Lepisosteus oculatus: one gene and its partners. The protein of the gene in region 4 purifies or fractionates together with the protein of the main gene of each other region. This does not show direct contact. Links are inferred from orthologs where the notes say so. Each region holds a gene or a part of one and is shown on either strand. Other genes may lie near its edges.

Region 1 (7,520 bases), on a different chromosome or scaffold from region 4:
TCTCCTTGAGTGGCCCCAGTCAAAGTCTAGACTTCAATCCTATAGCACATCTGTGAGAAGAACTGCTGTCAAGCTGAAGAGCTTGATCAAGTTTGCAAAGACGACTGGGTGCAACTGCACCATCCTGGAGAGAAGACTTTGTAGAGACACATTCAAAAAGAGCTGCAGCTGGGACTGCTGCCCAAGATTCAGTCACAAGGGTGAATACTTGCAATCAACATATTGTAGGTTGGGGTCTTTCTCTACTATTTTGCTTCTTTTATCCATAAAACCCCCAAGAGAATATGAGCAAGAGTTTCAACAAGCCTTCACAAAACACAGAGTAGGGGATCTTTAAAGTTAAGCAGTATATGGTAGCTTAACAATATGCTTATTTTTGAAAAGACATCTGTTAATTAGAAAAGCATGCATAGCACTACCAAAGCAGGAGTGAAGCTGACACTCTGCTTCTCTATCATGCTATACTGCTGCATGCAGGGCGGCACTGCACTCACATTATTTGGAGGAGATTATAAATTCTGATCTGCAAGATTGCTTCCCTTTGCTGGCAAAGAGGCTCTTTACTTCTCAGCACTTAGTTTTATCAAGAATCTTTTTCTCAGATTGGTGAAAGACAGCAGACACTTGCTCAACTGGCAAGACTAGGCCACAGCAGTGACGTGCTTACTCTCCTTGGTGCGGGATGTGATTGGTCGCAGACCAGTCTGCAAAGGTGGTAGGGGTGATATCTGATACAGCAAGGCCCTCCTAAGCGGATCTCTGCCTGTGTGATCTTACAGTAATTTGTCTAAGAGCAACAACATTTGTAAAGGAGACAACACAGCAGCTCACAACAAGCCTGCAATGTGCAGGCCAGAGGGAGAGTCAGGTCATTACGGCTGCCATGGCCTGGCCAGTCATCACATACTGTATGAACATTAATAATTACACATGAGCTGTTCTCAGTTGTTTCCTGGTAAATCCACTCATGGGATGTCTTGGTACAGTTCCAGTAACAGCAATGGGCTGCAATTCTCTCAGTGAGTAGGCACGTTGCCTCCTGTAGTCTCTCTATGTACAGTATGCTAGTACATTTAAAAAATATTACAAAGACTATACTGTACATACACATGACAGGAAAATACAGCATCAGAACAATGATTATGTTGGGTGTCAAGTTATTAACGACATTTTTTGTCTACTGAACAGAAAACCAGCTCATTAAAATATAAAGGAAACGTAAAAGAAAAACTGGTAATACATGACAGCGATAGTAAGGCCTCCAGTATGGTAGTTCTGTACTTAAAGTCAGAGTTGTACACAGGTGCCATAGACTGTAATCCAAATTAAACTGAAGGTGCTTAATTGACACCAGCCACCATTAGCCTTGTTCTAAATAATGTATGTGTAGCCTCGTGTCCATCTGGCAAAGCTATTTAAACCTATTTAAACCTTCCCTACGAAGCTGCCGAGTGTGCAAACTGCCAGCTGGAAGCATGAGGAACATTCCACATACACTGTAATACAAAGATCAATTGAGAGTATTGTTCTTATAATATTCACTGTTAAAATTCAGTCCTGAGCTTTGCTTTTAATTTTTTTTAAAGTGCAATTATAATTTACTACATGCAGGGTCTGCTGGGTATGGGGTGGAGGCACAGTCATTCTGATGTCTGTCTGAAAACTAGAGTTGTGACCACAATGGAGCCAAAAAAAGCTGCAAAATGCATTTTGGGGAAAAATAATTCCTTTGAGCATCCTTCAGAAGTGTATCAATGAAAGGTCACAGATGGAGGTTAAAGAAGACCCGAAGGCAAGAGAAACCAGCTGAATATACAGATTAAACAGTCAGTCACATCTTTGTGTGCCTATATACAGTATAGAAGTATACATCCTGTACACGAACTGTTATAAAATCTCCATACACACATTTATAATTAATCTGAATCAGTTTCTACACTTGTTGAAGGTAGTTGATTTTGGGGGGTTTTGTTAATTCTTGTAAAGCACAGACAAATCATACAATTATTTTTAAATAATATATTTATATGATATTATATTTTAATAATTATTTAACAAAAGTTATTAGATAGATAATACTTTAGTAATCCCATAGGATTGATGAATTATTGTTATGTTATTATTGATGTTATTATTGTATTTTTGTGTCAGTTATTCATATTTCAAGGGACTTTTAGATAACATTAAAGTAATACACTTGTAATCTTACCAATACAAGGACTGTGCACTCCAGATGTTCACAATAAGATATATTCATTAAATTGAATGTTACATTGTTGGAAAATACCTATGAAAGACGATTACTTAGAACCTTGATGGTTTCCACAAACTGTGTTTTGACTCTGTTTACAGCCTTAGGCAAAGTAATAAAGATTTATAACATCTGAAAATGATAATAAAGATTATTTGCGCAATTTCGTTATTGGTTTCGTGTTTTTAGTGAAATACATTACTATTCCAGAACATCTCTACAGCTCTGGAATGATTTTACTAAACATAAAAAAAATGTTGTTAAATCTGTTAAAGAGTAAACTTTTGAGAAACGTTTTTTAAATCCCCGCACCAGCTAACACACAGAAGAAAATCTAATGGAACTACATGTCTCTGAAAACCATTATACAACTTCACCAATCACTGATAACTTTGTGTGCAATAATATGATAAAAACTACTTTATAAACTTGATAAACTAAAATGTTTACTGCGGATTTCAGTTAGAAAACTGAAAAATAATTGAACACATATGTTACAGAGTGGGAAGGGTGACTAACTGGGAAAAGTTGACTTCCAGACGTTCACTTGAATACTGTACAGAGGATTCAAATTAACAGTTCAATGTATAGATGGTCTGTTGATTCGTTTTCGTTTTCAAACTTACCTTGAAGGACGAAGTTACAAAAGAGCCTTGCTTGTCTTTCCCCGAAAATCTGTCCAATTCTATCACCGTTTTCTTACAATCCAAGTTCGGGACCAGGGAGAAACTGAGACTGACTTGTCAAACTTTCTCTGCTTATAACAGTCTTCATTGGGGTTTAAAAAAAAAAAGTTTTGTAGTCACCTGATTCCTGACGTAATGTAGACCTCCTAACAAATTAACAGGATCACGGATAACTTTTGGGGGGGCAGACTCCAACCATACAGAGTAGAGATTCCTACATTTTATTTTCAATGACAAAATGACTAATATTGAAATTCAAAAGTTTATAAGTTTAGAGGACAGCAGCTACCTGTACGTGAAAATAAATGACCAAATATATGTCAGATATGAGCTTTTTTTTTTAGCAAACTCGTTTTGCAATGCGTTTTAAGGATGCAAACAGAAAAAAACACAGATTATGACTAATGATTTCTTCGGATCATATACCATTTTAGTTCCATTTGATTGCCTGTGTAAGAATCAATTTCAAATGTTTAACTTTGCATTTTTCATAAAGAAGTTTAGTTCCACTAAACACAACTAAAAAGAAATAACCCCGGCCCGTATAAATGTCTCATATAAAACTTCCGTCGGTGATCAGCGCATTACTTTAATAAAAACTACACAATTGCATGTATTCAATAATTATTCAATGAAACTCCACTTTGCGTTGAAGTGGTTTTACTGTGAAATTTGATTATATTTATTACATTTTTGAAGACAATATAGAGTTTAATCCACATATATAGATTTATATTAGGCTATATGAGGTTGTGGCATGCCATATGCAGAGAGTGGTGCATTATATCAATTAAGACAAGATCATTTGAACATGAGAACAGAATCATATGACGCAAATCTAACGTGGGTTTCTGCATTGCGCTCCAACCGTCATATTGCTGTGACCATAGCGCCCTCTCCTGCACACTGCATAAAATAAGGTCAAAGAAAGAAATTATTTTCAGTGTCCTTTGTAATGAAAGGTACTGTACGCGCATCTTGACACTTTGTATTAATTAACAGATGATTTGGTTTTTCCGATAAATGAAAAATCTGCAGATTCCAGTATTTACAACTGGAATTCATCTTATTTTCTCAGTGTCCTCAAGCTGACATACTGTACCACACAGTAGCTTCCTTATCTGTGATTGGATTCTAGAGTAGAAAGAAGCTCATACCATGTACTGTACCTTGGAATTTCATTTTAAATTCATGAGCTAAGATAAACAATCAAAATAGTTTGAGCGGACTTTTAATTATTCCAGCAAACATAATCCAAGAAAAACTGATTTACCATAACCATCACACTAAATGGAGAAATCAGGTTTTCCTCTACTCTGACAAGGCACGCTCCAACAGTAGTACTAAGGTGATTAGTGCCTGATTATAGATGGAAAGTGGACTAGAAACAGGCATTATGTGTACAGAAAGCAGTAATGTGCCATGATATGATGTAATGTGATTTTGGAAAGATGCTGAACTCTCTTTTCAAGCGTGACTGTGACTGCTGGTGCTGCAGTGTGCTGGAGCACATATTTCAGGGAAGGGCCTTCACTTCCTCCAGAACTGGCATGATGTTTCTGCAGATGCCACTCTGCGAACAGGAGAGCTGAGATCAGAACTTCTGCTACCGACACTGAGACACATCATAGGTATGTGTGGAGAAAGGATGCACAAAAACCTTGAAACCAAGTTAAGGACACAGAAGACTAGAGAAAAGACAAACATAAAAATGAAAGTTTTGTGATCAGTGTGTACTGTACAAGTTGGAGTCTCTGGGAAAATCTCCTTCTTTCTGTAGGATGGATTCAGAAAATAACATTTCTGCTTTTGAGTTCAGTAGCTACAGTACTAAGGTACAGTATTCAATCAGACCATAGACTGTGCTGTACACAACTGAGGGCATTTTGTGTAAGAACTGGAGGGTCAAACATGACAGTGTTGTGTTGCCATAAGGGAAAAGAATACAAACAGCAAGACTATTCTTACATTTGCCATCCATCCATTTTCTAACCACTTCTTCAAATACAGGGTCACAGAAGAGCTGGAGCCTGTCCCAGCAAGCAACTGGCACAAGGCAGGACACACCCTGGATGATATGCAAGTCCTTCGCAGGGCACAGTCACGGACACAAACACACACACTCACAACAGGCCACAATTAACCCAACAGGATGTCAGAGCACATTTATCCCAGCTATGAATTATCAAGGTGCTCATGTAGCAGAGCTAGTTCGGACACGGTGACATCATCGCCCTCCCTGCGCGTAGCGGGGATCTCAGCTGCCTGGGCTGGGGGAGGTGTCCTCTAGCTCACTCGGCTGGTTCCCTGTTGTGGTACACTGGAGACCTAGGTTCATGCCCCAGGTGTAGCGGGATGAAATTGTTAGTGGAGGACATGAGCCTGCATGGAACTGGCACACAACTTAAAAGGAGTTTTATAGTATTTAGAAACATTTGATTTTTTGTAACTCTTCCTAGAATTGCTGCTTTCAAGTTCTGGACCAGGGAGAGCAGTGCCACCTGCTAGTCCACCAACAGCACAGCCACAACCAAGCTCCTTCTAAAGGTCTCCCAGCCCCGGCACTGGCCAGCCTCTGAAGTCAGGCTAGAAGACGGTAACACTGCTGAAGTAGTCAAACAGCAATCTAAAATGTGGTGCAGAAAACCATGTGTATGTTAAAAACGGTGTTGTAAGGCATGAACAAGGTTCTGTGAATTTATATGAAATGTATGGATTTTATGAGGGTGTAACAACATTATATTTGTCTTAGGTACTGGAGCAGGTTTTAGCAATAAAAACGGCAAGGACAAGGAATTTCAATTCCTTATTTCGCACACAGCGCATCCAGGATACCAGTTTCAACTCATCTGCCCACAAAACAGCATCAAGATGGAACATTCAAAACTGGCTAAATAATAAGAGTGCCATGCAGATGCTTGATTTTTATCACAGGTAGAAGGTAGAAGGTAGAAAATGTGTCTTTTCAAGTAGTAAATTACCCTTTCTTGTATCCTAATTATTTAGGCAGATCTCGAATAACAGGTTTAAAATCACAGGTTTGTGTCTTTTAGATAAAGGTAAAGAAATTAGATTATCACTTTCTAAATAATCTAGCAATATTTTGAATTTATTTTTAGATACACATACAGTATAGTTCAGAGCTTTGTGAATTGTTAGCTGAATTTATCAGTGTTAATTCAACACTATAATCTTTATATTTCAAACATACATAGAGTAGTAGTTCAGGTGGGTAGCTGTGTCAGCATGCAAAGGCTGAAAAGGAACAAGTAATTGTTTTACTTGTTTATTATGTGTTTTTTTATAAAAGGTTTATTCCATGCTGAAAAGAGAAGAAAGAAAACACAACGTTTCGGCCGTGGAGCCTTCTTAAGGTGTGAGGTGAGTCTTCAGGTGTGACCCTCAACGTTGTGTTTTCTTTCTTCTCTTTTCAGCATGGAATAAACCTATTACTTGTTACCATACACAGAGTAGGTACTGTATAACACAAAGCATATTCAATACATTTATTGACATTGTTAGGCTAAATATAAAACCTCATTCTTACATAATGTATTTGTTGGTGAAATGCAGTAGTTGATCTACTTTTCACTCAATAAATATTCGTCGTCTTTCATGCTTTGAATGCTTCCTTCAGTGCTGTGCTTTGTACTCTGAGCTTCACCACACCAAGGAGGTTGTGGGTCAGCTTCCCTCTTCATTTTACACTCCTCCTCACTTATGCTTCTTGTCATCTCACTCTCCAGCTTGTCTTCATTCTGCTCAATCTTTAAATTAGTCTTGTTCTGTAGCACACTATGCTTATCACTGAAAGTCTCACAATCCAGAGGTGCTTTAAAACCAGAAGAAACCACCTCAGAAGTCAGGGGAATCTTTAAGCCACCAATCTGCTGCTGATACTGCTTGTTTACAGCATAACTAATCTTGCGTCCACAGAGGTAAAAGATCTCAATGACATTCAGAAGCAGAGATATACACGCTACCACAAGCATGAACAAAATGAAAATAGTCTTCTCGGTCGGCCGGGACATATAACATTCGACTTTGAAGGGGCAAGGGCTCCTGTTACATACAAACACGGGGTCCAGAACAAACCCATACAGATAATACTGGCCTACAATGAAGCCCACTTCAAAGAGAATTTTAAAGATCACATTTATTAAATAACTGCATAGTAAATTGCCTTGGATTCTAACTTTCCCATCAGCATCTGTATATTTTGGGATCTTACTGATTTTTTTCATAAGCAGATTGCCATCTTGTTCTTCTTTCAGCTTGCGTTGCCTCAGCTTCTCTTCCTTGTGGATAACATGCAAGACGTGTCCCAGGTACACTAGGGTTGGGGTGGACACAAAGATGATCTGCAGAACCCAGAAGCGAATGTGGGAGATTGGGAAGGCCTTATCGTAGCACACATTCTCACACCCAGGCTGCTGTGTGTTGCACAAGAAATCTGACTGCTCGTCACCCCAGACCTTTTCTGCTCCAGCTCCCAGTACCAGAATCCTGAAGACAAACAGGACAGTCAGCCAAATCTTCCCAACCACAGTTGAATGGGATTGGACTTTATCCAGCAGTCTTCC
Region 2 (7,983 bases), on a different chromosome or scaffold from region 4:
TGTGAACACCTTAGTGCCACTGGAGTCTTACCTTGTAAAAGTTAAACACCAGGTCTAACTCACAGACATTGTGGAAATACTCATTCAGAACCTACAAAAATAAAGACATAAAACATTTCATGATGAGAAATTAGACTTTGTGTATTTGACAGCATAAATTTGACTTTTATCATCTAAAATGTAAATTTGATTTTTGAACGTTAAACCCAACCTGCTGTAGTTCACTTAGAACTGAAAGATCCATCCGGCCCCTCTTTGTGGGTTCCGGGCCCCCTGCCCCGTCAGTCCATCCCAACGCAGAACCCCGCCTGCGTCTGTTCCTTACTGCTGCCCCGAGCCCAGCTGGGACGTCCCGCGGCGCAGAGCCCCTCTTACCTCCACGAAGTTGTGAATGGCCTCCAGGTAGGCCAGGTTGTTGTCCGTCACGTCCACACAGATGCAGAAGTACAGGCCAGCGTAACGTCGGTAGATGATCTTGAAATTCCTGAACTGCACAGAGAGGAAGAGGGGTCACTCACTGAGAGGCAGCTGTGCTGCTGTCACACGCCTGGACTCTAGGGGGCAGTGAGGGGCAGGGAGGGAAGGAATCTCTCCTTTCAGAGACCGGGGCTGTCCCTCCTCTGGGGAGAGCTCCCGTCAGAGCTCCTCAGGCGGCTCCCAGTGCCGTCACCAGGCCACGGAGCTCAAAAGCAGGATGGGAAGTGGGAGGTGGGATGGGGGAGTTACAGTAAGCCAGTGGAGGCGTGGGCGTGCAGCAGGGCTGGTGCTCTGCCCCCCCCGAGCCGCACCTCCACGAAGTTGGTGTGCTTGGCGTCCCGCACGGTCACCACGGCGTGCACCTCCTCGATCAGCTTCTGCTTCTCGTCGTCGTCAAACTGCATGTACCACTTGGCCAGGCGGGTCTTCCCTGCTCGGTTCTGGATCAGGATGAATCGGATCTGTGGAAGAGGAGGGCAGGGCTGAGAGGCGGAGCAGCTCGTGGGCGCTGTCTCCAGGCTCCGTCGCTCTGAATTCTGCACACGCTGCAGCCTGAACTAGACAGACGCCTACGAGTTCGACACTTCAAGGAATCAGACCGCCGACAGTCTCACCTCTGACATCAAACGCCTGCTTAACGCACAGGCCTGGTCAGAGGAACACCAGAGAGCTTCGAGGGAAATGAGGAAGAGTCCCATTGCAGGCTCCTGGCGAATTACACTGCTGGAATTTAAAATGCTGTTTCGACTGAAGAGCCCGTTCCTGGAAACACATTCAGCCCAGAGAGCTGCAACGCACAGCAGCAGGCGAAGGGCTACAGGTCTGCAGCTGGTGCAACGGGACGCAAATGAAACAGCTAAAACAACAGGAGCTGCCAGAAGAGCAGCAAAAACTGAGAAAAACAGCTCACAAAGCTGAAATTCCAAATTTTCATCGTTAAACGTGTTTTAAAAAAGCTATTCCTCTGAGCAGTTCAGATGACAAGTCAGAGCAGTGTTTTACCAGTATGTTCCTGTCGAACCCTGCACCTGCAGCGTGAGCCGGGGGGGGCTCTGGACAACACCAGGCTGAGGCTGCCGGATCAGAGCAGCAGAACCTGCCTGCCCCGGCGCCGGCCCGGTGGGTCTAGAGGGATCAGAGAGCTCCGATCTGAACCGCGCGCCACGGCGCCCCACAGCAGGGCGGAGGGAAGTGCTGGGTTACACCCCCTGCAATTTCCTGGAATGTGAGGGACTCAGCGAAAACAGGGAGGGTCTGATAAGGGACTGAGGAAAGACTGCTGTACAGCATCGAGAGCCCCGTCAGAGACAGCACAGGGTCAGAGCGGCTCCGTCTCTCGGCCCCGCTGTCTGGACGGAGTCTTACACCAACGGCTCGATTCCACACACTGCAGTCCGATGAGAATAACCCCAGCGTCCTGGACACATTCCCCCCTGGCCTTTACCAGTCATGGCCTCCCAATAACCCCCTCTCTGAACTGGTTTCATCACTCTGCTCTCCTCCCCACTGAGAGCTGGTGTGTGGGGAGCGTACTGGCGCATCACCCAGGTGGGGCTGCACACTGGTGGGGGTGGAGGGGGTCCCCATGACCTGTAAAGAGCTTTCAGTGGAGTGTCCAGAAAAGTGCTATGTAATAATAAATAATACAGTCTGATTAAATATGCTTCGATTATTTATACCAGATAATGTATTTGTTTTTTAAAATGACCTTTTTCCGGGCTCTTTAGAAACTCTCCTGTGTGTCGATGCCAATAGATTTGACACTCGACGGGACAGAACGTACCGAAATCCGCACAGGGACACTGAACGCGTCTTCGATTTAGAGCAAAATTACAGCAGTCGAAAGGATGACCTTTGAAACTTGGTCACTTGGCGCAGGTTCTGAAAGAGGATTGTTTCTGGTGAGGAGGAGCGGGCATCGCAAGCGACAGCTCGACACTGCGGACAGCTCAGAAACCGGTGGTCAGGACTCGGGATCAGGACAGTAAACGGATTCAACTGTCGCAGCAGTAGGAATTAATGTGTGACAAACATATACCCCCACGAAGATCAATCAATCCGCCTGTAATGAATACCAGAGTAAAGGTAGAGATCAGTAGCAGTTAGCGCCCAGAGCGACCAGACCGCCCCGACAGATTCTCGCAACCTGGGAATACGCTTCATCGGCGATCATTGTCAAACGCCCCATAGGAAAGGCACATCTGTCGTCTCAGTCCAGTAGAGGACGTTTTGGGTGTAATTACACGCTCAAGATCTGGTTAAAACCGTATAAACGCCCAATGGGCCTCCATTCATTTCTTATCGAGTCCTGACTTCGGCCGAACGGAGTCGCAGATAAAATAAAAGACTTGCTTACCATTTTATTTCCAAGTATCAGGTTTCTCAAATGAACAGAATTATGCGATCGGGGGTGATCTAATCATAAGTTTGACTAAATGTTGTTTTTCGTCTGTTATGATAAGACCTTCCCTTCTGCTCTCCGCTATCACCGCTAGGCAGGAAGTCCAGGAAAGGCCTTGAGCTCGGTGCCTTACGGGTATTGTAGTTCAAGCCGCCCCCACCCTAGTCACGAACGGCCGCTTGAAAAAGGAACGGATGACTACAACTACCAGAAGACACTACGATCTTAATGGTGTCGTGGGAAATGATGTTTTTAGACGCAGGTCGCCCCTGGGGACAGCGTTGTGACAATATCACGTGAAATTTTAGCTGAAGTCAGCTTAGGCGTTTTTAGTGGATGTGAGAAAGCGGACATCAGATATGAACAGCTGAATTCAAGTCATTTTCTTAAAAATTCGTAAATTTTCTTATTTAAAATTTCTTGCGCGTCCTGTGATCCACATGAGTACGCAAAATATCGATAAGATCTGACGAATTTTGAGCAAAATATTTTAGTGGGGTTGCAGTTCTTTGATTTTCTTCCGCGGTATATAACGTAATACCTCAAAGTAACAGCGGCGCCCTCGCAAGTCGCGTCTTGAACCATTTGCTGTTCAGGCGGTATTATTGCACAGATGAACACGGGCAGACTCGGAGGCGAGGACTCGAAGGAGGGGGTAGGTATTGATCCGAGGGTACAGGGCAGGTCTCTGCGCGGGTCATCGCTGCACCGCGGATGCCGTGGGAGTGACGGCACGTGACTGTGGATGCTATCCCACGAAGTCCCAGAAAATCGCCCTCGAGCCACCCCGAGCCCGCTGAGGCGCACGAGGCACGGAAGATACCAAAAACACGAGCTTTATTTCTCTGCAAAGAAACCGATAAATAACTGGCTGAAATACAGCAGTACGACCGTTAAATGGAGATGTTGTTGTTTTTACAGTGGCATGGGTGATTTGATAATGTGTTTTGTATTACCCACTCGAAGCAGTGAAATCAGTAGACGTTTGGAATGAAAGAGAAACCTGCTTATCTCCCCGTGGGTACAGAAAACTATAAGGAGATGTAACACTTGTACATATGTGTAGTTTCCGTATGTATGAATACAGTCATATATGTGTGCACACACTAATAGACACTCATTTATATATTAAGGAGTATGAAGTTAGCCTGTCCACCTCGGAGCAGTCGGGCACACACAGTACATCCCCGCGACAGCAGAGGGCGGTAACGGGGCGGCGCATTCTTCGGGTATAAAACATGGGCAGGGATGATGTTCGACCCCCTGGAGAGGAGCATTTCGAAACAGCGCTTCCTTAAGCAGCAGATTTCGCAGCCAAGCTGCAGTTCCTTCGCAAATCACCCCTAATGGCTACATGGACACACAGTTTTCACTGTATTCATCATACTGCACTACTTGGACATAATGTATTGCACACACCCTGGACACACCGCAGCTCTATTTATATTGAGCTCTGTCTGAGTTTATTTTATTCAATTTCTATTGCACTATTATGTATTATTATGTCACCTTATTTGTAGCTTTAATGGTGTGATTTTTATCCCCCCAGTGAGCTCGTAGAAAAGACATTTCATTGCCAGCAACTACTGCTGTACGCTGTATTGTTGTGCATTTGTTAATAAACTTTGACTTTGAAACTTTGACTTTGACTGTGTTCAGGCAGTTCACAGTTCTCAGAATCCTGAAAGGCAGGAACAGAACCGCTGAGCTGACTGCCTCAGTCTCGGCATCAAGACTAGGACCTGGGACAGCAGGCGGCACTCAGGGCTGAGAAACAGCTGACAGTCCTTTACACCAAGAGTCACAGGGGTCTGGACAGAAAGCAGACGAGTCAGCTGGAGCAGAATCTCTGTGATCCCTTCAGAAATAACAGGATGAGCCTGTCGGATCGAGTAAGCTGCTAATAACCCCACAGGCACAAAAGAATAGTTAACCCCAAAAAGAGGAGCCAATCTGGCCCATCTAGCCCATGTAGTCCCACTTCAGTATTTATTCATAAGATCTTCCTGCTCAGTCTTTCTCATTTTGTATTTATATTCTTTTACTACCTGCAAGCAAAACCCTGCAGCCTGTCTTAAACTTCATCTCCAGCTGCTTGCCCAGTACTGAGTTTTACCTAAGCCTTTTGGAATTTCATTTGCTGTCTCTCTGTGTCAGGCCTTTTATTTTGATGTTGTCTGCAAACCTGACTATTTTAAAAACTATACCTGAGTATTGGGCAGGCATTGTTATCAATTCATAGTGGATGGGCTCCTCTACTCCGTAGCTTTGCTCCTGCTCGGAAGCGGTTCAGATGTCATACACCTCCAGATCCGAGTCGTCCAGAGGCAGAGCTGCCCAAGCGGTTGGCCACTGGGAGAAAGGGTTGGGCCGGAGAGGTGCCCTCTCTGCTGTACTGGGAGCTTGTTCTGCAAAATTGTTTGAATTCAGTGAAGCGTCAGTGCCAGTTCAGGACTTTCTTAAGACCCCAGGAAAGCAAATCCTGTCCTATTTAGGACTGACTCTTCTGATACACAGAGCGGATATGAAGTCTTTTACCCAATGGGCTTGTGGGGTCGAGTGGCCTCTTGTCATTGGTATGTTTGTCAGTGCGCTGGCCTCGGGAGCGCCTCTGTGCCTGGCCTCTTCTTGCCCTGTGAACTGCGCTGGCTCGGCTGTCCTGTGAAGGAGTCCTCCTCCTGGAGCTGATCGCAGAGTTTCTAAAAGCTGTCTGAAGACCCACAGAAAAAAAACCTGCCAGAATTTGGGAGTCCTTGCAGGTTCCTGAAGAATCCGGCGTGGAACATCCTGAAGGATAGCTTTGACAGGAAACAACATGCAGGATTTCTGCTTGTGTCCTGCAAAAGTTTTTGTGGTGTGAGTTGGAAGGAATTGCTGACAGTTTTAAACTAGACTACGTAGGAAGCAGCCTGGGTGACAAATGGTTTTGAAACTGATGAAACGCAGATTTGAAATCGCGTCCTCGCGAGCTCAGGTTCAGAACACATGCACAGAGGGAGCAGAGTAAATTATACTGGAAGAAAATGGAGTGCATTTGTTCAGACAATTTCATTGTCATTCTAACCTCAGGAATTTCGCAAGACACAGCTGTAATGGTGTTGGCCCTGGAATTGTTTACTGGTCATCAGGATACAGACCCAGCACTGAGCATAACCTAAACAACCCTAATTACTCCTCTGAGCCTGTGGGGCGGCCACATCGCGTGGCACTGCGTCACGGCCGGGAGGACGCTTTGCAGTCTGGGACCCAGCGGGACGGAGAAGAGGGTTCCTGCAGGAGGGGTGGTGGGGGCTGGACTGGGGGGCTGTTCCACGTGCCAGTAAATTTCACCCCGCATTTCTGAAGGTGGAGAGGTGAGGCTGCTTAGAGTGTTGAAGCAGAAAGGGCACTCACACAGCGCGCTTGCTCTGACTCTCTCAGCAAGGGTAAATTGAAAGTCCTGCCATTTCAAAATGAGCACCTTCCTCAAGTGGCATGTTTCACTTTTCCCATAGTGCTTCAGGAGTCAATAGCAGCCTTCTGCATCACTTCCTCAGGCATGGCGTTAGCACACTGACAATCGCAGCACACCACCCCAGCACACTGACAAACTAACCACACCACCCGAGCGCACACAATCACACCACACCACCCAGCACACTGACAACAACACCACACCACCCCAGCACACTGACAACCACACCACACCACCCCAGCACACTGACAAACTAACCACACCACCCCAGCGCACACAATCACACAACACCACCCCAGCACACTGACAACAACACCACACCACCCCAGCACACTGACAATAACACCACACCACACCACCCCAGCACTCACAATCACACCACACCACCCCAGCACACTGACAAACTAACCACACCACACCAGCGCACACAATCACACCACACCACCCCAGCACACACAATCACACCACACCACACCACCCCAGCACACTGACAATCACACCACCCCACACCACATCACCCCAGCACTCACAACCATACCACACAACCCCAGCACACACAATCACACCACACCACACCACCCCAGCACACTGTCAACCACACCACACCACCCCAGCGCACACAATCACACTACACCACCCCAGCGCACACAATCACACCACACAGCCTACAATCACACCATAAACTCCCCCGAATACTGCAGGATATAGGGACATACTCCTGAAATTGCAGGTGCAGTTAGGCACCTATAGTACCTGACTCTAAAGAGTCTGTGTGGCCCTGGTTCCAGCCGCAGACCCCGAGATCGACTGAGATGAGCTCTGTCCTCGCTTCCTTAGGAGCTTAAAAACAGCAGCTCATTTTTACTGTGTTGGTGACAGGAAGCAATCAGAGGATGTCACCCAGCTCTCTGTTCACATGCACACGACCTGAGACTCGAAACAGGCAATTTCTCCTGGGCGACAAAGGTCAGGGCTTTTTAATCCTTCTTACGTTTATATAGTGCTTTTCTCCGCAGGCATTCCTGAAGCCCTCAACCCCCCCGTAGGAGACACGCAGCAGGTCAGGGGAGGAGGGAGAAACCTTCCGTGAGAATCGGGAGGGGCGCTTTAGGAAGGTCAGAGAGCTCAAGCCCAGAGTGGGGGATAGGCAGGACACTTGTTACGAGCCATGCCCAGGATCATCAATAACCACCTCGCCTGAAGAACAGCACCTGCAACAGCACAGTGGCCTGGTGCGGAAGGCAGCGCCACCTACAGGGCTACCAGCGCCACTGACAGCAGCCACCTGGCTCTCCTCAGGGGTCTCCCCTCCCAGTACTGCACCAGCCTTGCTCAGCTTCGGAGAGCAGGGTACTCACTGGTCATGCTGTTTTTTTTAAAGAAAAAAGCTACAGAGAGAGTGCTTCAATTTTATTAATTTTTTAATTTAATTTAAATGAAAGCCCATATGTCTTACAAGGAGGTCTGTAGTCCTCTTTGGTATTGGCACCAAGGGTAGAACAGAAGAGCTATACCCTTTCCATTCTATATCCATTACAGAAACAAAAGTTTTACTTCTTAGGATATGTAGGAAAATTGGAAGGGGTGGGGTGATGGGGTCAGAAAAAGAGCATGAGCGATGAAAATAAAAAAACTGGGGAAATTAACTTTT
Region 3 (7,924 bases), on a different chromosome or scaffold from region 4:
GGCAAGGGCTTCAATAGCTAACAATACAATAACATAAACTGTATATTTTTACTAAATAGATCATTTTAACTTCTCTTTTCCGTTACTTTTAGAAAAAAAAAACAATACCATATCCTAACTATGACACTAGATGGCACTAAACAAATGTGGAAATGATGCCTCAATCCCGATTTCAGAGATTTGCTTTATTTCACGACGAATTGGAAGTGGAATTAAGACTCTATATGGTACTATTACATAGCCCATTTTAAATTTTAATAATCGACGTACTGAAAAAGTAATAAATGATTCTTGTTCGAACTGTGTATTTGGTTTCTACCCGTCTTTTCTTACAAGCATCCGACCCTTTTAAGTAGGTATGCATTTAGCCCAGTTCTAGACGTACGAAATACTGAATATTATTGTATAGCTTTCTGGTTTTTGTTTTAACTGTCACCAATCTTGCGGAAAGTGTTTTTACTGAGCTTTGAGCTTTTTAGCACCCCACGTACCTTATCTCTGTTTACGACATTAATGTTTAGTTATCGCTGCTCTTTGTTTTTAAATCGAAATTGCTGTTTGTATTCTGCATTCTTTAAACACATTTTACTGTCTTTAATTTACAAGCACACAACCTTGGGTTCAAATATAACCCACGTTGACTGACACATTCCTGGTACAGTAACGTTATTAACGTTATCAGATCTCATCAGAATTGGTCTGTTCATTGGGTTACTCCTTAACTGTATCACTTTGTTATTTTTACAACCAAAGTGTTAGTGCAGTCTGCAATATTAATTCTAAATGAATGATGTATCTGATATAAACTTTGATAATTCGTGTTTTGCCTTACCCAGGAGACCCCAAAGATGAAGTTCAGCAGATTTGGTGTAAATTAAGGGCAATGTAAGGGATCCTGTGGCTACTGCAATATAGTGTGATGTTAATTCGTTTGCAATGACAAATATTTTCACAGTTATTTGTTTTTTTTTAAAACAAAACAATTCTTAACTAGAATTATTTAGAAGAATTTGGAAAGCAACAATCCACTTCAGGCTTGTGTGTGGTGAAAAGTACAAATAAGTCTATTGCTGTATGGTTTTTGACCCCAAATGAATAGGGCAACAGGGCTGAGGTTAGACAAATCAACACCACTCATTAAACCCTCTTTCACCTCACTTCTCTGAACTTCTCAGTACAGGTGAATAAATACATTATTATTTCATACAGTAAGTTTTCATACTTTTGTATTGGAAAGAGCTGCTATTGTGTAGATTAAGCACTAAATTTTCAATTATTTTGTTGAAACTCTGAAACTGTATCCCAAGACTTTGTGAGCAGCAGAGCTAGAAACAGCTCAAGCTGAAAACACTGTCCAAAGAATGATACTACTTTTATTTTATTTTCAGTGCATTAGGAAGTAGTTGCAAAACCTGCTCTCAAATGTCTCAGGTAAATATTGGGCTACAGTGTTGCCCAATTGCCATTTTCTATGATGGGAGGAGTTTCGCATGTTGTCAATATGCATAGACTCAGTATAAGCCCTCAAGCTGTAGGTGCCGTTCATGTACAGTATAGTGAATATTTACTCAATTGGACCAAATATTTCTTACAATATTTGTACATGCCATTTTCTGGGGAAAAACAACTGTGTATAAGTTTCACGGTATTCCTGTAAGTGGATATCTGAATATTTATCTAAAATGTGGGGTGGCACGGTGGCACAGCTGCCTCACAATGGTGGGATTGTGGGTTCAATTCCTAGGTGCTGTTTATGTGGAGTTTGTATGTTCTTCCCATGTTTGCATGGGTTTTTTCCAGTTGCTCCAATTTCCTCCCACAGTCCAAAGACATGCTGGTAGCTTAATTGGAGTGTGTCTTTGGTGTGCATGTTTGTGTCAATTAACTAGTGTGCCATCCAAGGTGTATATTGCATTATGCCCATTGCTTGCTTTGATATTGCTTGCTCCAGCTGCACTGCGATCCTGTATTGGATAAAGCAGTTAAGAAAATGGATAAGTGAAATTTAATATAAACGGAAACCTCTAAAATCAGAAATGGTAATCAGAACACATTCTATGGTATGATAAACTTTACTTCCAGGGAGACTGGGTTTTATGTGACACTTACTTTTGAACTTGATCCTATGCAGCTGTAAGTACAGAGCTGGTGTCTGTATTGTTGTGTGTGGAGATGGGATTTTGATGCATAAAGATTATATTGGGAGGCTGGATATACTTCTTTCACTGGACATAAAAAGGTTTATTCCCTTTTCGTATGGATAGATTCTTTTTCTTTTTCTTGTGTCTTTCTCTTCAGGCGAGATGGTCACACATTCGTAGAAAATTCCAAATTTTCCTTACTTTAAAACTGAACATGGCAACCATATTTTCCTGTTTTGTGTCAATATTTTGCACTGTCCAATTTGTTTAATAGAAATAAATGAAATGTGGAAAAATTGGACCTACTACATACTAGGCTGTGGTGTTCATCAACATGAAGAATCTCTCAATGAAGCCGACTTATTTTAGCTGAAGCAGATACTACTTTTTGAAAAACAAAATTCACTAATAGCTAAACTCTAGTGTTTTTGATAATATTTTGGTTTGTGTTTTTTTTATTAAGTTTCAGACATATGGGTGTCTGAACACAGCAGATATGTCCAAATATCTGTCAACAGCCTTGAGCAGGACCTCCCTTTGTTTAGTAGCTCAAGTTCAGAAAACACATGGGCATAGCAGATGCTTTTCCCCACAGTACACCCATAGATTCCCAAGCTCTTTTAGATCTAACTACTCCAAGCAGCAACAGAAATGTATTATAATTAGGGACTTACTTAATCTGATCAAGCCTCAACCTATTAGTGTCTCCTTTTGACATTTATGCTTTTATTTCATGTGATTTAATCAGAGTATTATACAACACATCTAACACAGGCACTGTCTTTTTCCATGTATGGCCCCAACTTCTTATAGGCCCCCCCAAAATGTAATGTTAATTTAATTAAAGGAATTTATTTTCCATTTTATACATTCTTAATAAAGTTGATTTGGAGCATGTTGGCATTTTTACTAATTCAGAAAGAGGACTTAATTAATTAAAACACATAATTAAAAACACAAATGTAGATTGCACTACTGATAGCTCACATTGTCACACTGTCTGGTGAATAAGGTGTCAACAGGAAATGAGAAACAAATTATTTAACGCATTTAGCTTCTTGGAAGACTTTTTAAATATATCAAAATGTATCTCATTGGCAGGAAGCTGAATGTTCAAAAAAATTACATTGGGTGGTAAAAATGACCTTGTGGATGAAGTCAGATTATCACCTGAGCTTGTAGAAAACTGTTTTTAAATAATATAATAATTTAATTAAATGCCATAATTTTAATATAAGGGGCAGCACATTGGAGTAGTGGTTTGCATTGCTGCCTCACAGATGGGGGACCTAGGTTCAGGTCTGGACCTGGTGTGCTATCTGTGTGGAGTTTGTATGTTCTCCTCGTGCTTGTGTGGGTTTCCTTAAGGTGCTCCGGTTTCCTCCCACGGTCCAAAAACATACTGATAGGTATGGCACCTACCGGTAGAAAACGTACTGGTTACTGGGAAATCTGGCCCAGGTGTGTGGACTTCTTTGTCTCTGTGTGCCCTGTGATAAACTGGCTTATTGTGCAGGGTGTAGCCTGTCCTGCACCTGTTGCTTGCTGGGTCTTTGGTTTTCCCAGCTGTCACTATAGCGCTATAAATATAGATACTATAGTGTTAGATGCAGTAATTCACTGATTGTACACGATTTGACTGGTGTAAAACCAATTTTGAGTTTCCCTCACTCCTTGAAATTCCAAATATCTTTTCATACAGGACTCCCTTGCTTTTTAAATAATTGAACAGTAGCTAAACAGCAGCAATTCCCCCTTGTAGCTGAATATCATCAGATCTCAGGAGCTCAATCTGACCAGGAAGGTGACATTAGCCCCCCTTCAAATCTTGACAATGTGGGATTCTTCTGTGGCAGGAGACTGTGTCTTGTTGCCTCCCTCTAGGGAGTGCTGCTAAACAGAGGTGCACCTACACTTGCTACATAAGCAAGGCTGGACATCGTCTGTACTGGGATGGGAGACCTATAAGGATATTCAGGTTGCTACTGTAAGGGGTTCTGATGGACCGCTAGGTGGTGCTATTGCTTCTACCCAGAGTGCCAGTAGAGTGACCAGCAGTTTTCAAAAAAACAAGGGTGTTACTGTGGCTAAATTCCAAGGTTGCTGGTGCATAATGGCAGCCATGTGTTACCCAGATAGATGCTTTACTTCAGTGGTGGATGAATTTGGTCTCCTTACATATGTAAAGCATGTTGAAATTCTTTGGGATGAACAGTGCTCATGATGTAAAGGCAGTATTTATGATTAATGATAAAATATTATATTGCAATGTTTTAATAAATGCAGTAATTGTTTCATAACTACAAAGGAATCTCAATGGGTCCTTCATAGGTAGGAAGTATGAAAGATTTGTTATAATTCATTTGATAAATATGAAAACAATGTCACTGGTAATTATGCTAAAGATAGTTTCTCTCATCTATCTCCAGAATATTATACCTTTTTGATTACATTGGGAAAGTAACAAGAAATAAAAAACTGTTACTAGGGGCAGAATATTTGGAACAAGCTGTCCAGCCATGTTGCTGAAAACAGTTTCCAGGAATCCTTCAAGAAATGGCCAGAGGAGATTTTGTTCGATTCAAGTTACTAGAAACCGAATAAACCAATATGACTGAATAGCCTTCTTTCATTTGTAGGCAGCTTATACTCCACTTAAGACAGTGAATAGCATAATGGTGCGGGGTTGAGAACTGGATGCCCTGCGAGTGGGGACTGGCTGGAATGTGCAATCACTGCATCAGCCAGGAGGGGCGCTGTTTGTCGTCTCGCTCGGGGTGAGCCTAGGCAGGAGAAGGAGGTGGAGTCTGAAGGTGGGGAGGGAGAAAGAAAAAACAGGAGACAACAGAAACAGGGGGAGGACGACGGTCTGAGACGAAAATAATAAAAAAAAACAAGTAGACCTGTTACCGCAAAGAAAAAGAAAAACGAAGATGACAATGGCCTATTTCGTGGAGAATTTCTGGGTATGTCTCGCATTTTAAAATTTTTATAATGCCAAGTATACCCCCTCCCCTTTCTAATAGCTGCTTTGACAGTTTGGCTTACATATACTTTTGTTGTACGTCTAAATTTTGAGATATACTATTAACATGAATGGGAAGGGATCGAGTTGGAGCACCTGCCAGTTTAATGCAAAACCCAGTATCTCCTACTTTTTAAAGGCGAAGACGTTTACGCCACTCCGGGGAATCGGGCCTCTGAGGCTCCATCTAACTTGGATGCCTGAAAGCCCGCCCTCATCGGTCACTCATTGGCTATTAGTGGTTCTCTAGTAATGTTTATATTCGTGTCTCGGTACTCCATTGACCTGTTGCGATGTCACTCAAATTTCTAGGAACGCTAATTTCTTCCGTAATTAAGTTAGAACGAGAGAACAGATTTCTAAAGTTCTTGAGTTAGCAAGGGCGAATTTGTTACCCATTTGAGATGAGTAAAATTATAGTTAACTCATTGTATTTTCCTAGATTGCTGGTATTTCATGGTGCGTTGATTTTGTAAATCAAAAGACTTGAACTTAATAATCGGGTTTGAAGGCCAGCCTTGTCCAGACGTGGCTGTTGTCGTGTTTTTAGACAAACGAAGACATGAGAAATGAATAAACAGAACCCGAACCCATTTTTCAAAAAGTAAATTACGAAATCTAGATGAATGTCGGAGTTTACGTGGAGTACGTGTATCACTACTACTATACAAAATGTCATATTTCTAAAAAGAAGCAACTATAGTCTTCATGGATTTAATTTTTTCTTATTTGTTGTCGACTGGCTTCATGTTTAATTACCCAAGAAATATTAAACGGGGAGTACTGAAGTTTAAGATCTCTTTTTATTCCCCATTGAGTATGGAATATTGCTAGACAAGGGAAGGCTTCAATTTTTAACGCGATTTAGTGTTGATAGTACAACGAGTTTGTGGATAAAACAATGTCTTTTGCTTTTAACGTGGCTGTTAAAATCGTACAAATTACAAGTCAGTCCTCATTGAGAGTATCTTGTAGTTTTGGTGATAGTTGTAAAGAGGATGTCGCAAACCATGGAAAGAGCTGAATTCAGATTTCTATGGAGGAGATCACTAGGAACTTTGTTGCATGTACTGTACAGTGCAGTATTACAACATTCTGAAAGGTATTGACACAGTGTGTCCATTAGATGGGCTAACTCAGGTTAAAAAAGCAGCTGAGCAATCGGAAGTGTGTTTCAGATTGAGAATAGAAAGCATTTCCAAAGGGCGCTGGTCTCTGGAATATTCTAACCCATGTTTCTGATACTGATTTCTTGGGATCATTCACAAAAGTTCTGTGAGCTCCCTAGATTCCTAATCTACCAAAATGGACTAAATGTCTTTCTCTAAAATGTTAGCTGTCATATACTATGTGGGTTGTAATAGCTAGAAGTACATTATTATAAAGTTAATTATTTTAAGGTGTGCTTTATTTAATTTAAGATTGTGTGACACAAACCACTATTGAAGTTATGTTGAGAAAAAATGAAGGTTTTAACATGATGCAAAATGTCTTGCAGTAAAGATGAACTTCTATCTGTGCAGTTGGAGACTGGAGGGAAATGAGTATGAAACACGAGCAGTTGTTTGTATTCCTTTACAGACGAGCCCAAGATGGTTTTGTGGTCAGTATGGTGGTGTCCAGTGTGCCAAGGAGTTGGAAACCAGTTTGTCAAGCGATTTGTGTCACTGTGTTTGTAGATCGCCTGGTAAATACCTCTGTCAAGATTAAGAACTGATGCTGTGCAGGTATCCTACCCAAATGGCTTTCCTGTATCTTTTTACCCAGTAGTCAACAGCTTGCAGCCATCTGTCCCAGTTTTGATTTGGTCATCTGTATAACTCTTGTTTTCGCTGAGGTTGCTTGGTTAATGGCTTTAAGTTGATGTGGTGGGATGGCCTGGTCTCAGCTACCCTGAACATTTCTGGAATACTCATGGAATACATAGGGCATCTTTACAGAAACACAACACAGCCAGTGATTGGACCATTAACTGATATGATAAGAGTCCCACATTCTCAGCTCTTGGATTAATAGTATGCAGCTTGTGATGCAGCTTCACCACTGTGAGAGAGGAGGTTGTACCAATCCTATTATTTTTCTGCAGTGGAGGAGGGGGCTCCTTTTATGTTTAAGCACAGGAGTGCAATAACCTTTAGGCATTAATATTGCAATTGTAGGGAATTGTCCTTCTGGAGTTTAGGGTTAAAACCACAAGGTTTGATTAGGTAGCTTTCATGAAAATGAGCCATTTCTTTGCCATTTTAGCGTGAACCGTCAAAGAAATGCACTGTAGTATGAGTGTTCTGTCTTTAGAAAAAGTGGTAAAGCATAACATTTTGCTGGCTTGTGTTTTTTGTGATGAATGGGAGAGTTCTAGATCTTCATTAAAACGTCCACGTAAGAAACATTGATAAGAGACCAGCATGATTTGTAGTTCTAGTGTTTCTGCCCTTCAGGAGAGTGGCACTCTTTGTTTTCAGGTGCAATAAAAGTGATTATAATTAAGACACATATCAATTATGTAGTTAACATAATACAGTGCAGTTTTCCAAGATGTCAGAAGGTGTAGCAGTGCCCCTTTACTTCAATATTCAAGATAGAGGGAACTGCAGAATTATTTCAGTTGAGTGCAGGATTAGAAAAATATCCATATAATTTTGAACTCCAGTAATTGTCATATTTTGTTATTGTACAGAGCATAGAGGGTTTTTCTGAGTCATTCTTGTGTTTTCCTGTTCTTGTTAACCTCAGTATGCTATTAATATTTGGTGTTTGT
Region 4 (7,842 bases):
CACATTCTCCTCAGAATAACATCTGCCATCCAATAACCCATGCCTTGGTGAACCCAAACTAAAATGTCTTGCTCCTGCAACTCCTGTTTTGCTGTGACACTATATTGGCCGACCCCCCCATCCTATTTGCAGTTGAATTGTTCCAATAATTACAGTACTGCAAGACCCATTTTTAATAGTGGATGATTCTCTCATCTGAATTTGCAGGGAACTGCCAAAACCAATAGGGGAAATTAGCAGACAGATAACATTGGCAGACGATGACATGAAATATGTATGAAAAGCCAAATGGCCTGGTAAAAGCTTTTTCTGGGCAGTGCAAAAATAAATGAGCTCAGATTCAAACATAAACTTTAATGGAAAGAGACTGCACACTACGTAATCCAAAGCAATCTAGGTAGATCCATTGCACAATCAGAAACAAACAGGAAACAGAAAGGTTGTGTGATATATCTTAACCTACCCACTTTACTCTGTGACAAACAAATGAAGCGATGCTCTAAACATAAATTACTACGAATAACTTCACAATAATGTCCGTTAAGACCTGACCTGTCACTCACTTCACATTTTCAAATTATCATCAAAAAGAAATGCACCAGCATTAAAATCCCCTAAGTACGGCAACACCTTTCTGCGATAACTGAGTTAGGCCATGCTGAAAAGAGAAGAAAGTTAACAACGTGTCAGCCGTGGAGCCTTCTTTGAGTGTGAAGGCTCCACAGCCGAAACGTTGCGTTTCCTTTCTTCTCTTTTCAGCATGGAATAAAACTTTAACCTGTTCCTTTGCAGCCTATGCACGCTAACGCAGTTACCTACTTGAACTATAATGGAGTTAATTATACCTGTCTCTTTATTAAAGGCGATGTTAGTACAGAGCAGGAGATTTTCTTCTGTTCGTACTCCTATAATTAGCTGTCATCCACATTAGGTTACAGTGAAGTCAGGATCTTAACGTGACCTTGGTGCTTCCCTTCCTTTGGGCACTTTAACTCTGGCCTTGCTGTTGATGCCAGAAGCAAAAACACTTCCCTCAAACGATCAGCCAGTTTCAAGCGGTAGTTTGACGACTGTCCAGAGTGAAACAGTCAGGACACTCTATAGGGCTCATCAAGTGGGCACCTCCTTTCACCATTCCCTTCACACCCTCTGGGAAGGCGAGTTATAAAGAGAACTATATAGCACCAGCCTCTCATCTTCACCCGTCTGGCCTCCAGGACTCTGACAACCGTCAGGTGAGCGTACCGACCTCCCGAATCTTACAATGAACCCCCAACCTCAAAACGCTACAATACTGGGGCTGGGCAAATGTAAATGATGAACTTGTAGAGAAGAAATCAATACAACTTCATTTTTAATTAATCAGCCAAAATGTTAATTTGTAAATGCCTTACAACTAGGCCAATACACAGGACGGCCTATGCTTGCATAGGCACTTCACCACGGGAAGTTTTAAGAATAATCTAAGATCACTCATCAGTCACTCCCAGATCTCCCAATACCTGTTGGCCAGACTGCCATTGTAATGACAAGTTCTTCTTTGGCAACACTATACAGGAAGAGCCAATCGAAGTCTGTGTTTAGTCTGGGCCCTAAATAACTGAATCCAAGTAGCTCTAATAACTACAGCTGTCTTAAAGCTAGTTTTGCAGACGCAAAAATAACCTTTCCTTTCTGTGCTTCCTATAGAAAACAGCATGAGCTCTATGGAGCATTCCAGCTAAAAGGTGTGTTCTCATAGACTGAAATACAACTTAAAAATGTTTCGGGACTTTACCCATGCATAATGTGTTGTTTCAACTTTAAAATATAAAACAGATTTTGCGCTCGTCTAGCTGCATAGATTTCATTTCGTTTTAAAACTAAATTGCAGCGCTGCGAGACAACCCTACACTAACTTTGCAAAACGGTTACAAGCGTAACAAGTATTTAGAAAAACACATGCTCATTCCTTACTGTAATTTAATCATTACTGACGTAAAAGGCGCTGTTAAAATCATGCATCAAGATGCTCCGACTGGAAGTGTAAAAGACGGATATACCGCAGTATCGTACTAACAGACAAACTGCCTATGACACCCAGGCCGGCAGGAGAATAAAAACACGGATGAAGGCGTTGGTTAACACTGGATTGTCAATCGAGCAGCTAAGTCTGATGAACAGTGTTTAAAATTCGCGAGATAACAGCAGAAGCATAAGAGGCAGCTCAAGATAAGAGGACAGAGAATATGAGCAACGAAATGGTTATGACAACAGACTTACACTACAGCAGATCACTACAGAAAGACATGATATAGTGCTTAACTCAACTAGGCACGTTACAACGAATGCCTGTACTTCCAAAATTTATAAACGTGCTTTGCATATACTTTTTTCGAAAGACAGCTGCAATTAATAGTCAGTAAATGACTCACTATAAACGTCGAAAGTCTTATTTGCTTCGCAAACTGACGGGCAAAATCCAGTTATTATTTTCCAGCACGTAATACATGTGTGTTCGATTTCTTCCCAAACTCAAACTTTCGATGTACTGCACACTACAGCAGCGGGTAATCCATTTTATCTCGCCACCCAACAGATATCTTGACACTACAAAACTAAGCAGCAAAACACGTTGGAAACAAAGCGATCAACATCGCGTCTTGGGAATAACGTGTTTAGCTGATGTAACAGAGTACTAGTTTAAAATATTTAAAAAACAAAAGCCCCACCCCCAAATTGACACAAACTACGCCCTTACGCAGTCCCCAAAGAGATTAAAAACAGAAACTTTTTCCCCAATTCACAAACTTCTAGAAAATCACACAAACATGTGTGTAGCCTCCTTTTCACAGCCCTGCTCTAACTTCCTCATCGCCCCACACAGTCCAACGTCTAAAACATGCAGCTGAAGGAATGTTAATCGCGGTAATTCTGTTGAAAAGGCAGAGTTACCTGAGTCAGAGAGAGACTGGCAGCCATAATGTTTCTCTTCCCATTAGCCCATCCTGCGTTGCACTGGGCAATATAGGGGAGGCGAGGAAACCAGGAACAGGAGCCCCGATCGAACTGGATGCGGCTGTCTGCAAAACGTGGCACTGGCGTGACAAACCAGCTCGGCTCCGGAGGAGTTTTGCAAACTACTGTATTTTAACTTTGTTAAAGGCGGTGATTCGGGTTGGCAGCACACTGTCTTGTTTTGTGTCCGTATGCAGTTGGAGCATCACTGTATTAGGCAACGAAGGACAAACGTTTAACCCATTTGTAAATATTAAATACAAAAAACAAAAAAACAAGTTTAAAAATATGCCAAGTGATAATCTGTTGTACCCATTCATACTTGTCGAAGTATCCCGTTCTGTAAACTAATCAACCTAAGCTTGTTTTTTTTCATACATTCACATTTATCGGAACACATGTTTCTGTTATACAGGACTGGTTTAAAAATAGTTCAAATTACGAGTTCTTGTACTCTCACAATTTCATTAGAAAGGGGTCACGGTAAATTAAGAGTAGAAGAACACTTTGAAAACAAAAAAAATCATGAGAGTCTTTATAAACATATCTTTAAAAGAAAAACGTGTTTGTTACATAAAGATAATATGAATTATCCAGCTAAGCTTCACACCCCACTTCAACAAATGACACTAAATATTAGCAAGTAAACAGCGTATCTAACAATTCCAATAGGGGGAGCTGTTACATAAATTATCCATCTGGTTCAGAAGTTTTTCATTGCCTGATGGTTTTAACCAAATTATATTTATGCTAATTTAAACACGTCTCGACTTTTAACAACAGTTAGCCTGAGTGAGTTACTTCGCTCAGTGACAGTAAGGTGAGGAAATTAGATTTTGCAGGGGACGTGACTGAATTTATTAGTGGATTGGATTTAGAGGCGAATTGCTGATTGCCCTAAACATTTTTTTCTTAATCTATTTTGAAGTTGTGCATCTCGGTATTTTTTGTCATTGCAATAGAGTATTATGTCATTTATGTACTGTTTTAATCTTTTAAATTTCAGACAGCGCATTAGCCGAGTGGTTTCTTTCACGGACACTAAAACACCGCTAAGAAAATAAAGTGCAAACGTTTCCCAGATAAATCCAAAACAATCTAACTTGTTAAGATGGCGTGGTCCCTTTTTCCGTTTTCTTCCACAACCGATATCCCTTTTGTATGTGGATCTGAGAATTTGCACAAATTGAACAGCGTAAGTTTATTGTAATAAACCTTGTTTTCCCTAAATCATCTACTTGTGCAAGTGATAGTGCTCTTTTGAAAGGATCCGGTGGCCGCAGAAACTAAACTATGCCTACCGTTCTCTTTCAGAACCACCTGTCTATAAAAGGTCATTCAAGTGTATTAACATAGAAAGTCTATGACTTCCCCAAAATATATGACTATTTTTAGGAACGAAGAACCACACTAGAATTCTTGTCATTCTGTACCGGTTGCACCCGTTCAATTGTTTTGAATTTATCTAGGAAAACATTTGCAGTTTATTCCCTGGCTGCCGAAATGAGGCTTTTCACTCATTTCATTTTCATTTTCTTACACTTGCCTCTCGCCACGAGACTCAGTTGTAGCCCTGCCGCAGTACTTTTCGCCTTTCACTCGCTTAAGTGACTGGGATAAATAGGCTTGCCCGAGGGACAGACATAAACAGCTCTCGACATTTTCCTAAAGTACTTTAAAGCATTAGGATCACAAAATGCAAAAGCGTTAACGCGAGAACACCAAAAAACATATCCACTGTGGACTGCGGTGCCTATGCAAATGCATAAGCGGAAACTCTGCTTTACATATTAGTTCATGAGCCTGTCTCTAAATCTGTCATTTTGTTCCATTCATTCAATTGGTAATCATTCTACCTGATACTATAATGGCATTTGGAACCTGAATCAGTTTTAAAAGGCTCATCATCTGTTTGAAGGAGTCATTTGCTGTCCCTTAGGTATGGTTTCTTGAAGCCCTCTTCACCAGTGGTCCCCCAGCCTGGTCCTGAGAAACATTGCTGGTTTTCATTGTAGTACCAGTTGATGACATCATTAGCTTGTTTGTTTAACCTGATTGTTCAGCCAGTCTTAAGTGTAACAAAATACAACTTCAAGGGTACTGAGGACATAAACCCTTAACTCGCCCCTGGTTACAGAGGCCACAGGCCTAACCTCAGCATTGCCCCTAGTTAATTCAAACAGTGCTGAAAATTCATCCATTTTCCATCAACTTCCAGGGCACACCCTGGATGAGACACACAGGTTATAACACAGACACAAATATGCACACACTCACAGCAGGGCCAGTTTTCACAGAAGCCAGTTAATCTACCAGCATGGCTTTGGACGGTGGGAGGTAACCAGTGTCCCGGGAGGAAACCCTCCCAAACGCAGTAAGAACATATGAACTCCACCCAGATCATATCACAGTTTCTCGAATTAAACCCAGGGCCCCAGCACTGGTAACCACTTTAACGCCTTACTGCCCCTCTCCTCCATTTGCTTGCTGGTATTTCTGACTGAACAGCCATGACTTGTAGATCAGTGGATGAAGAACACAGGGTCGAATGAGTTTTCTTCTTTCTGCACAGCTCTAGTTACATTTCAGGTGCCTACTCCGAACGAGTAGTTCTCAACTCCGATTGCGTTCGGTTCTGAAACTCAGAAATTGAAGCTGATGGTACCAAATACAAATTCCATTTGACCTCCCAAGAGCCGAAAAGCAGATGTACAAATATGGCCCAAACAGAAAATTGAAATAATTAAAATTGGTAAATTTAAATGCAGATAGCCTGTCATTCAGAACTTGGCGGGAGCAAAAACCAGGAGAGGCCCTCTTCCTCTAGGAACAGGTCTGGGATTCACTACTCTACACTATAGCAATCCCTTTCTGGCTCCAGATCCGTCTGGATCCACCTAGGTGGGGGATGCCCACCTCTGGTCCTCAAGGTCAATGATAAGATTCAACTGTAGAGTTTAATTAGGTCATTAAGGGCTCTGGTAACAGCTAAAATTGTCTCTTCAGGACTCGAGTCCTGCACACCTGGTCCATCTTTAAGGACTGAACTGCAGGACAAGGTTGGAATCTTCACTCAACACAGTACCAACTTCCACCACATTCAAAACTGGATTTGAGCGCTTTATGCTTTATTGTCCAATATGCATGGCAGCTCATGCCAGCAAGTTTTTGGTATTCAACTTCTATTCCCAGCAGACCCATTCAGTATCACCAATTTACTGATCATTTAAGTCCAGGCTATCACCATTTAAGACTGCTAGAAAACAAAAGATCCATGAATTGTCTTGTTACACATACCTGACAATGTTGTGCATTTACTGTACTCCCATCATCCTTCATTTTCTCAAGTCTAATGGTTTAGTTCTTGACATTCTGAGGAGCAGGTCAAGTTTTAACCAGAACACCCTGATATTTCAAGGGAAAGAACAGAGACTCTTTTAAATTAGTTTATTACTGTACAGGAACTCACATAACCAGATCTTCGGCAGGACAATCTTCTTACTCCATCCCCTTCCCCCTCCCCCCCAAAACCCCATAAACAAATACAAAAAATATAAAAAAGGAACATAAACCAAAACCGGTCACCGGTCAGGTAAGTTTCAGATTGAATGTACAGCAGTGCAATTCACATTATTTCCAATTCGATGCTAATAAAGATTCTAAAACGGGACAAACTAACATTCACTCTGCATGATTTAAACCACTCTGGTTCGGCTTACCGGTCTTTTTGTAATATGGGCAGTTCCTAAGGGCAAGGCAGGGCACTGGGGCTGTTGAACAACACATACCAGCACTCTCAAACAATTCAGATTTTCTCCATGTTCCTACAATGAACTGAAGGAACTGGATGGATTTTAAAAGCACAGTCCCTTCACCAGTAGTTACAGATGGGATATCCTAAAATCCTTGTTAAAAACAAGGGAGATGGGAAATACAGAACAAATGTATTTCACAGGAATGTGGGGGAAATAGCGTTTTTTCACTTTTTTTTTATAAGTAAATGAAGACTTTGCAACAGAAATTGTAAACCCCATTTCACAAACGAAACAGAAGAAATGAAATGGTGCTCTTAAAACAGGAGACAAATCTACAGCAGGTGACGATTAGAGCCACAGACCTGAAACAGCATGTCAGATGTCCTTTGAACAGAAATAAAAATAACTACCAGTGTTTGATAAATGTGCTAAATAATTCAAGGATGGTTATCACCTGGCTTTGGTAACAGGGAAAAAAAGCTGCCCCAAAATTCAAACATGTTATTTAACCCAGAAAAGCCTGTTATAGTCTGTTTTTATAAGCCTATAAAACTGGTGTTCTAAATAATTCTGCAGAATGTAAAACACTATACTGTTGCATATGAACAAACACCATATTTTTTACAAGGGATCTATTTGTTTGGTAATTTCAACTCTTTCAAATGAGGCCAAGGATACTAGTTTAGAAACTGTGACCACATGGATTTATTTGACAGGGGCCTCAACATTGACAGAGGTGCAAAATGAGCCCATTAGGAATAGCAGCACAGGTTTACAAAGGACGGCGCACAACATTCACTGGAAATGCAGCAAGACTAATGAAGACAAGGGGGCTTTACAAAGAAAAACAAAATGATGAAATGTCTTCTCAAAGAGTCTTAACAAAAAAAAGGTGCAGCATTTTGAAATTCTACTGAAACAAACCAGATACTGAGATACAGTATGTGATCTATCTATAGAAAGTGGATCCATTACATTTGACTTGTCACATTAAAGCACACAATGGGTTTCTGAAAAGAATGGCCCTTACAGGACACCATAACTTAAAAAAAGTTTACATTAACAACTAGTCTAAAAACAAAAAAACAAA

What was found.
Region 1: the proteins of eps15 (region 4) and gja1b purify together in Homo sapiens (affinity purification with western blotting; 3 studies listed by BioGRID). This does not show direct contact. The link is inferred for Lepisosteus oculatus from reciprocal best matches to the Homo sapiens genes EPS15 and GJA1.
Region 2: the proteins of eps15 (region 4) and ap2s1 purify together in Homo sapiens (affinity purification with mass spectrometry; 5 studies listed by BioGRID and IntAct, counting the BioPlex papers as one, with this or other methods). This does not show direct contact. The link is inferred for Lepisosteus oculatus from reciprocal best matches to the Homo sapiens genes EPS15 and AP2S1.
Region 3: the proteins of eps15 (region 4) and fcho2 purify together in Homo sapiens (affinity purification with mass spectrometry; 3 studies listed by BioGRID and IntAct, with this or other methods). This does not show direct contact. The link is inferred for Lepisosteus oculatus from reciprocal best matches to the Homo sapiens genes EPS15 and FCHO2.

The regions. Positions count from the first base shown.
Region 1 is NC_090697.1:1,441,026-1,448,545, reverse strand, and holds the start of gja1b (gap junction alpha-1 protein), read right to left. Parts: upstream 3,018-7,520; 5' UTR 2,878-3,017; intron 1-2,877. Other genes in the region: gap junction Cx32.2 protein-like, read right to left, coding at 6,519-7,520. UniProt on the Homo sapiens protein: Gap junction protein that acts as a regulator of bladder capacity. A gap junction consists of a cluster of closely packed pairs of transmembrane channels, the connexons, through which materials of low MW diffuse from one cell to a neighboring cell.
Region 2 is NC_090698.1:783,586-791,568, reverse strand, and holds the start of ap2s1 (AP-2 complex subunit sigma), read right to left. Parts: upstream 3,003-7,983; 5' UTR 2,837-3,002; coding exon 2,834-2,836; intron 939-2,833; coding exon 789-938; intron 490-788; coding exon 376-489; intron 131-375; exon of another isoform or gene 92-130; coding exon 32-91; exon of another isoform or gene 1-31. UniProt on the Homo sapiens protein: Component of the adaptor protein complex 2 (AP-2). Adaptor protein complexes function in protein transport via transport vesicles in different membrane traffic pathways.
Region 3 is NC_090698.1:24,444,255-24,452,178, forward strand, and holds the start of fcho2 (F-BAR domain only protein 2), read left to right. Parts: upstream 1-4,923; 5' UTR 4,924-5,074; coding exon 5,075-5,107; intron 5,108-6,798; exon of another isoform or gene 6,799-6,893; intron 6,894-7,924. UniProt on the Homo sapiens protein: Functions in an early step of clathrin-mediated endocytosis. Has both a membrane binding/bending activity and the ability to recruit proteins essential to the formation of functional clathrin-coated pits.
Region 4 is NC_090704.1:27,626,762-27,634,603, forward strand, and holds the start of eps15 (epidermal growth factor receptor substrate 15), read right to left. Parts: upstream 3,007-7,842; 5' UTR 2,962-3,006; coding exon 2,935-2,961; intron 1-2,934. UniProt on the Homo sapiens protein: Involved in cell growth regulation. May be involved in the regulation of mitogenic signals and control of cell proliferation. Involved in the internalization of ligand-inducible receptors of the receptor tyrosine kinase (RTK) type, in particular EGFR.